2 linked regions of the Alligator mississippiensis genome follow. The protein of the gene in region 1 interacts with the protein of each later gene in a biochemical or structural test. Links are inferred from orthologs where the notes say so. Each region holds a gene or a part of one and is shown on either strand. Other genes may lie near its edges. The genes, in order: NMUR1 and NMU.

Region 1 (3,904 bases):
AGGTCTGACACGGCCAGGCTGAACAGGTAGTAGTTGGTGGGCGTCCGCATGAACTTGTGCCGCAGGATCACTAGGCAGGTCAGCGTGTTGCCCACGGCGCCCACCACGAAGATCAGCAGGTAGGTGGTGCAGACGGGCACGAAGAAGCTGGACCGCCGCGGCCCCAGGTACTTGTCCCGCAGCTCGTCCTCCGTGAGGGTCATGTCCTCCGGGTCCACGTGGCTGTGATTGCAGAGCACCTCGGCCTCCAGCCGGGCCAGGTAGTCGCGGAGGGGTGCCAGGCTGGTGCAGTTGGTGTAGGGATACATGGCCTCTGGCTGCAACGAGACTTACTGGCATGGGGGAGATGCCGCGAGCAGCCCAGGTGCTCCCAGCCCTTCTCCATGCAAGATGCCTGCCCTGGGCCCACCCAGCTGCTGGAGCCAGGGGGGCTTCTAGCCCTGTCCCCCGGGACAGCTCTGAGTGACTGAATCTCTATCCGAGTCCCTGCTTCTCAGCTGTAGCCACAGCTGCAACCCCAGACCTCTGTCAGCTTCAACCCCTGGGCTCAGCTCAGCGATGGAGCCGCCTCGGGGCTGCCAAATGTACCCGATACAACCCACCCACACTCAGTACCACGCCGGGGGTCCGGCTCTGCCCATGGAGGTGGCAAGGGCACAGACAGCGGCCAGGAAGAGCTAATGCTCTTAATGTAGACCCAGATTTGGCAGCCCCCTGCTTCAGTGCCTGGGAGCCCTTGGAGAGCTCAGCCCCCCACCCCACCGCGTGGTCCCATGCAGGGTCTGGCCTCAGCCCTGTGGTGTGGCGAGGCTGGACTGTGTGGGGCTTTGCTCGGGGTGCTACTGGATGGGTCTGGCCCTCAGGGGCACGTCCATCCCTGCCCACGACAGGCTGCCCCTAGCACTGCACTGAGCCATGGGCAAGAGCAGCCCTGCTACTGCACCAACACTGCACCGGGCTTTTCTGGAGGTGCCCACCCGCTCCCCCAAACCTCCTGGTCTCTCTGGGCCAAGCCTGCAGGCCTCCAGCTCCTGCTCAGCCCTGTCTCTGCTTGGCTTGGCTTCCACCTGCTCCCTTCACGTGCCCTCTGGACCGGGGGGCCAGGGCCCTTCTTACCCCACAGCCCCTCTGGCACCAGCCACGGAGCACCCGCTTGGCACGTGGCCCCAGGGTCGGCCCTCACCCTTGCCACACCGCAGAGGGGAGAAGTCAGGGGGTGGTGGTATCGCATCTTGCCCAGAACCTGGATGAGCTTCCATAGCCGTCTGGGGAGTGGGAGCGCCCTGCCTCCAGCTGCCCCCCGGCTCCTTCCAGCTCAGCCCCCCGGCCAGGGGCTGGGGAGGGGGGTGGTGAATGGGACCAGCCAGGTCCTGGCAGGAGTTTCCCACCTCCCCACAACCGGTGCCTTACCTGTGCGAGGGGCACTGCGGCACCGGCGGCAGCACGGCCGGGAGAGGCTCTGGAATGACAGAGCAGAGCACGGCTCGGAGAGGGTCGGGGTGGGTGATGGGGACACCCTCTCCAGCTGGGGCCGTGACAGCTTGGTGACCCATGGGGGCATGGTCCCCCCTCCCCTCCACCCCTCCAGAAAAGCCACGGGCGCTTCGGGGCCCCAGCACTGCATTAGCATCCCACACTGAACTGGAGCTGGCCGGGGAAGTTTCAACGAGAGCTGGTGCCTTGCCATGGCCACAAGCAGGGCTGGGGGGGGGGGGGGCAGGAGCCTGCACCCTGCCCTGCTGCATCCCGCCAGCCACCCGGCACCCCCTGCGCCCACATCTCCGGGGCCGGCTCTGGCAATCAGGCTGGTTCCCGGACACCCAGCCGGGCACCTGCTCACATGCACGCGCTCACAGCCAGAGCCCCCCTCTCCGCTCTGCCTGCGTGACCTCCAGGGACCAGACCCCCCATGCCTGCCCGGCTGCCTGCAGGGAGAGCAGCCCCCTCGCTTCCTAACTCCGGCTCCTGTGACTGCTCCGGTGCTCCCCACAGCAGCCTGCCCCCTCCCCTGGCTCCGCGCTCCAGCACCCGGCTCCCCCCAGCTCTGGGGGCTGGCACCCCACTCCCCCCAGCTTTGGAGCTCTGGCATCCTGCATCCCCCAGGCTCTGGGACTCCAGCACCGCGCTCCCCGCAGCCCCAGCACCCTGCTTCCTCCAGCTCTGGGACTCCAGCTCCCTGCTTCCCCAGGGTCAGGGCTCCAGCACCGATCTCTCCCAGCCCTGGGTCTCCAGCACCACGATCCCCTCAGCTCTGGGGCTTGGGCACCCCACTCCCCTGGTCCTGGGTCTCCAGCACCACGATCCCCTTGGCTCTTGGGCACCCCACTCCCCCAGTCTGGGGCTCCGTCACAACAAACCCTTCAGCTCTGGGGCTTGGGCACCCTGCTCCCCTGGTCCTCGGTCTCCAGCACCATGATCCCCTTGGCTCTGGGGCTCTGGGGCTTGGGCACCCCGCTCCCCCGCTCTGGGGTTCTGGCACCCTGCTCCTCCTGGCCGTGGGGCTCCGGTGTCCCCATCACTAGGGCATCAGGTGCTCGGGGCTGAAGAGCTCCAAGCCTTGCTTGTCTGGAGGGTCCTGCCTGGGTGGGCAGGGTGTGGAGAGGGGCTCACCGGGCTACAGGGTCCAGGCAGAGAGGGCTGGGGCTGGCCCGAGCATCTTCGCAGCTCCAGGCGGAGTTTGAGGTGGCAGCTGAAGTCCTAACTCCATCGGTGCTGGTGCCCGCTGCGTGTGGGCGAGCTGCAGCGGGCTGGGGGGAAAGAGCATCACTGAGGTGGGGAGGGGACAGGGGCGGGGGCTGGCTGAGCCGCTGGCTTTTCCAGCACCACCAGGGGGCGGTGCATCCCCACGGCTCCCCCCCAGCCTCAGCTGCAGCTGGGCAGCGGTGCCCCTCGCTCTGGACCCGCAGCCCCAGGCCTTGCCCCGGCTGCTGGGGGCTGTGACCAGCAGGTCCTCTCCTCCCCCTGGTCTCCTTGCCCCTTTGGGAGACCCTTGCCCCATCCCGTGTCTAGCTGGGGCTTCCAGAAAGCCCCCGTGCCTGCCCATTTTGAGAGGGGAAACTGAGGCACAGGGGGACGTGCTCACCTGAGCCTATGAAAGCTGAATGGGACTCAGGAGTCCTGATTCTGCCCAGCCCCTGGGGGCTAAATACCAGTCCCCACTGGCCAGGGAGGGAACCCAGGAGTCCAGGTAACCAGGCCGGCTAATCAAGGAGGTCACCCATGAAGGTCTTCAGCACTGCCGTGCCAGCCTCCCCGTGCCCGGGTGCTGAGGCCACGTCACCGCCTGGGCCAGGCACCCCCCCCCTACCAAATAGACCCCAGCGATTTGCTCCGGCCTCCAAGGCAAATATTTGCTCGGCGGTTTATGAGAGCTGAAACCCCGGAGCTGAGCAGGACCGAGGAGATAGGCAATTGTTTGGCCTTAATAAAAGCCATGATTAGCCCAGCTCAGCAAATGGGGGGAGGAGGGGTGCAAAACACCCCACGCCAGCTCAGCACCGGCGCACCAGGCAGTGGGATTCCCTCGCAGCTTGCAGGACCTGGTGCCACCATGCACGGAGCCTGGCATGGGCTGGGATCCCTGGGGCCATGCTGTGCTGCTGCTCAGAGGGGCCCGACGTCCTCCAGGCAGCGGGTGCAGCCCCAATGCCAGCAGCAGGGACCCAGGCACGTCCTGCTGCAGCCGGCTGGGACAGGGCAGGGCAGAGGTCAGTGCTCAGAAGTGCAAATCTGGCTCTTGAAGCCAGTGCCCCTGTGCTGGGGCTCTGTGCCAGGGGCAAGGGAGCTGGACCGGTGCAGTTCCCTGCCCAGAAGGCATCTCAGGATGGTCGCGGGGCCAGGGCAGCAAAAAAGAGCCCAAATCAAGTCAGGTCTGGGGGAGAGAGCACAGCGTATGCATCTCACC
Region 2 (3,904 bases), on another chromosome or scaffold:
TTTCCCTGTCCCTCTTTGCTTATCTCTTATTTATTGCATCCGTTCCTGGCTCCGTCTGCAGAATTTTAGTTCTACTCGTAAATCAATTGTTAGTCTACTTGTCTTAGTGATAAGTGTGGAAGCGAGAGTAAAAACATGCGGAGTGCATAAGCAATTACAAAAGCAGGGTGTATAGATTATGCTGTATTTTTACCACAGTTGGATTACTCGTGGGCCTCTGGTTAAAAGCCTACCCATAAAGCATTCCTGAACTGGGGACTAAGGATCTTAACTCTGACATCCTTGTTTTCCCCAGTCTTTGTAAGAAAGGGTTAAGGCAGGGGTTTCAAGCACATCAGGCCTCACTGGTTGGAAGAATACCCTGGGGCTGGTCCATGGGCTGGATCGGACCTATGGGTCAGATCAGCCCTACAGACCAGCCTTGTGCTCTAGATCTTGGACTGGCCACAGAAGGTGCTGTGTGTGGTGCAGTTCTGCTTCATGCTCTGGGGCATAAACTGGAGTGGGCATTGCGTGTGCTGCAGGGGCCATCCGGTGTGCCCCACATGCTGCCAGCAGGTCAACTCTGAGACCAACTGGCAGCAGTGGGTACTGGATGATGATGAGACTCTGCGGGCTGGCTCTGGCCTGCGGGCTGTATCTTTGACATCCTTGGGATAAAGGACACTTTATCGCAGATGCCAAGGATGGACAGCTCCAGAAGAAATCGTTTTACAGTCAGTCTGAAACCAATCCCTGTTGTTTCAGGGCTCCTTCACATGCACATGCACATGCACATGCACACACACTCTCTCTCTCTCTCCCTCTTGTTTTAGGGCTCCCTCTCTCTCACCTCTCCAGTTGTTTCAGGGCTGGTTCTCCCCTCCACTTTTTCAGGGCTGGTACACACACACACACACACACACACACAGCCTGTTGTGTTAGGGCTCCTCTGTCACACACACACACGCACCCCTCCCTCCCTCCCAGCTGTGTCAGGGCTGGCACGCGCAGACCCGGGGCTGTGGCGGGCGGGGGAGCGGGGTGACGCGGCCCTGAGTCCGGGGGAGGCCGCCACGTGTCCCGGAGATTTAAAAGTTTGGGAGGGAGCGCGCCCGGCCCGCGCTGCAGGCTCCTCTCAGCTCCGGGAGCGCACGGGCCAGCCGAGCCGGACCATGCTCCGCACCAGCCTCTGCCCGCAGCAGCAGCCGCCCGCCGGCCCGCAGCGCAGCCCCGGGGACGTGCCGGGCGCCGCCGCGCTGCTGCTGCTGCTGCTCCTCGCCTCCTGCACGGGCGCCTGCCGAGGTGAGCGGCGAGGGCCGGGGGCAGCGGGGCCGGGGCCGGGGCAGCGCTGCGGTCGGGGCCGGCCGCCTCCGCTGGCGCTCGGGGCGCGGGGGCAGCTCCCGCTTAATACCCGCCGGTGCCTTGGCTTCCCTTCGGCACAGTCTCACGCCTTTTTCATTCTGGCTGGCGAAAGAAATGATGCCTGAGACGGTCTGTGAAGTTCTTGCTGGCAGCAAAGAAATGAGAGGGGGAACTTCTTGTTTTCTTTTGAGCAGAAACCCGGGTATAGCAGCAAGCGAGGAGTGAAGTACTGGTTTCTATATTACTCTTCTAGCAGTCGGGGGGGGGGGGGGGATTGTTGCGTTTAAACTTGAGTTGTTTTCCTTTTCCAGGTCCAAAAAAAATCAACTGTTTTGCAATCTGGCTTTTATTTGCAATGGGTCCAACACTGAATTGGAGAATTAATGTAATCAACTCTTATGAATCTCCATTTCCTTTATAAAGGCTAGTAATAGAATCACAGAAAATGCAGGTTGGAAGGCACCTTGGGAGGTCGTGTAGACTGGGGGTTCTCAACCTGTTTTGTACCAGGATCCACTTACGAACATCACTGGCTGGCCCCAACCCAGCTCCCCTTACTCCTGACCCGCTGCTCCTATCCCCAGGCCCCAGTGTGTGGGGCCTGGGGGGCCCCAAACAGCCCCTCACAGGCTGCAACTCTGCCAGCCTCCAAGGGGAAAGCCAGGGTTTCCCACATTTTTTCCCTGTAACGGAGAATCCATTTTTAAAGTTTCTTGGTCCATTTTAAATGTTTCTTCCTGACCCTTTCATATATTCTTGTGACCCACTTTTGGGTCACGACCCACAGATCGAGAAACACTGATGTAGACCAACACCCCTCCTCCCCCAAGCAGGACCATCCCCAACTATCTCATCCCAACCAAGGCTGTGTCTAGCTGGGTTTTAACAACTCCGAGATTCCACCACCTCTCTGCCCAGACTGTTCCAGTGCTTTACTACCCTCCCAGTGAGTGTTTTTCCTAATATCTAACCTAAACTTCTCTTGCTGCAACTTGAGACCATTGCTCCTTGTTCTGTCATCTGCCACCAGAACAGTCAAGCTCCATCCTCTCTGTAGTCACCCTTCAGGTAGTTGAAGGCTGTTGTTAAATCCCCTCTCAGTCTTCTCTTCTCCAGACTTAAGTAAAATGATGTTGTAACTAAATAAATGGCATTTTAGTAAAAACAGAACTTATGTTATAGACAGATAGGTAGATAGCATTTCCTATTCTATCAGGAGCTTTACAACATCATTGCAAGCGTAGTTATTAACTCCTTGCAGAGTAACCTCATACAATAATGCATTACATATTGACTGTTTTTGCTTTGTTTGTCTTGCTTGTATGGGAGTTGCTCTTTTACCTGTGACTGTGATATTTAAGCGCCATCAGAAAGTAGCAGGGTCTAAATATTTTACCTCACTAAAGAGCATGCTTTTAAAAAGACCAAAAAAAATCTTTGAATTTACACTGTTACCCATAGATACTAGAACCAAATCTGAATGTCTGGAATATCCACAGTGCCCCAGAAGTTAATGTTTGATGCTGCTATTTCCTATCAGAGGGATCCACTTTTAATGAAGCGATATTTACTTGCCCTTTTAAAGGATTAGGAATACAATTCTGCATGGGTCTGATGCTCTCAATTCCCATTTATTTAAACTGCTGAGAATTGTGGATCTTCAGGGAGTCGGAGGATCAGGCCCATATTGTTGACAGACGGGTCTAGGGTTGCCAGTAACTTCTTAAAATGATCTAGAGCAGGGGTAGGCAACGTTTTTTGGCTGGAGTGCTGAAAAACCTACAATGCCTACCTTGGAAGGTGCCGACGTGCCAGCAAGCCAGAAAAACAAAATGAGGACAGGGGGTACATGGCAGGATGCTCTGCTTGTGCCCCTTGCCCCCACCCAAAGCCCTTGCCTCCCAGCCCTGCTGCCCTGTGCCCCCCACCCTTGCTGCCCCTTACCCCCCAGCCTGGGCTCTGTGGCTATCAGCAGTTACCCAGAGCCTAGGCCAGCTGCAAACATCTGCTGCCTCTCCACCCTGGCCCTGGCCTCAGCTGCCTCCCAGCCCCAGACCTGGCCCCTGGCTCTGCGGAGGCAGCACATACCGGCAATGCTCCCTGTTGTGCTGCCCTCACCTCCTGTGTGCACAGGAGCAGCGTGGGCAGCAGCGCAGGGTTGCGCCCCTTCCTGCTGCCCCCACCTGCAGGGGAAGTGTGGCAGGGCAGTGGGGAGCTCGGAGCAGGCAGCTTTCTGAGCCCCCTGCTGTGCCCTGCCGCACTGGGTTCCAACGCTGCTCTGCAGAAGCGGCAAGAGCAGCACAGCAGGGAGCATTGCCAGTGTGTGCTGCCTCCCCGGAGCCCAGGTTCAGGTCTGGGGCTGGGAGGCAGCCGGGGCCGGGGTGCAGTGGCAGCAGATGTTTGCAGCTGGCTCAGGTTCTGGGTAGTTGCTGATAGCCACGGAGCCCGGGATGCTTGCAGCAGGACTTCCATGGGAGCAGCCCGAGTTCTGTGGCTATCAGCAGGTACCCAGAGCCGGGGTCGGCTCCGACTGGGAGGCTACAAACAGCTGCCGCCTCCC

What was found.
Region 2: the proteins of NMUR1 (region 1) and NMU form a complex in vitro, tested with the Homo sapiens proteins (2 studies listed by BioGRID). The link is inferred for Alligator mississippiensis from reciprocal best matches to the Homo sapiens genes NMUR1 and NMU.

The regions. Positions count from the first base shown.
Region 1 is NC_081830.1:85,073,160-85,077,063, reverse strand, and holds the start of NMUR1 (neuromedin-U receptor 1), read right to left. Parts: upstream 2,766-3,904; 5' UTR 2,611-2,765; intron 1,460-2,610; 5' UTR 1,411-1,459; intron 318-1,410; 5' UTR 309-317; coding exon 1-308. UniProt on the Homo sapiens protein: Receptor for the neuromedin-U and neuromedin-S neuropeptides.
Region 2 is NC_081825.1:60,617,885-60,621,788, reverse strand, and holds the start of NMU (neuromedin-U), read left to right. Parts: upstream 1-1,071; 5' UTR 1,072-1,154; coding exon 1,155-1,284; intron 1,285-3,904.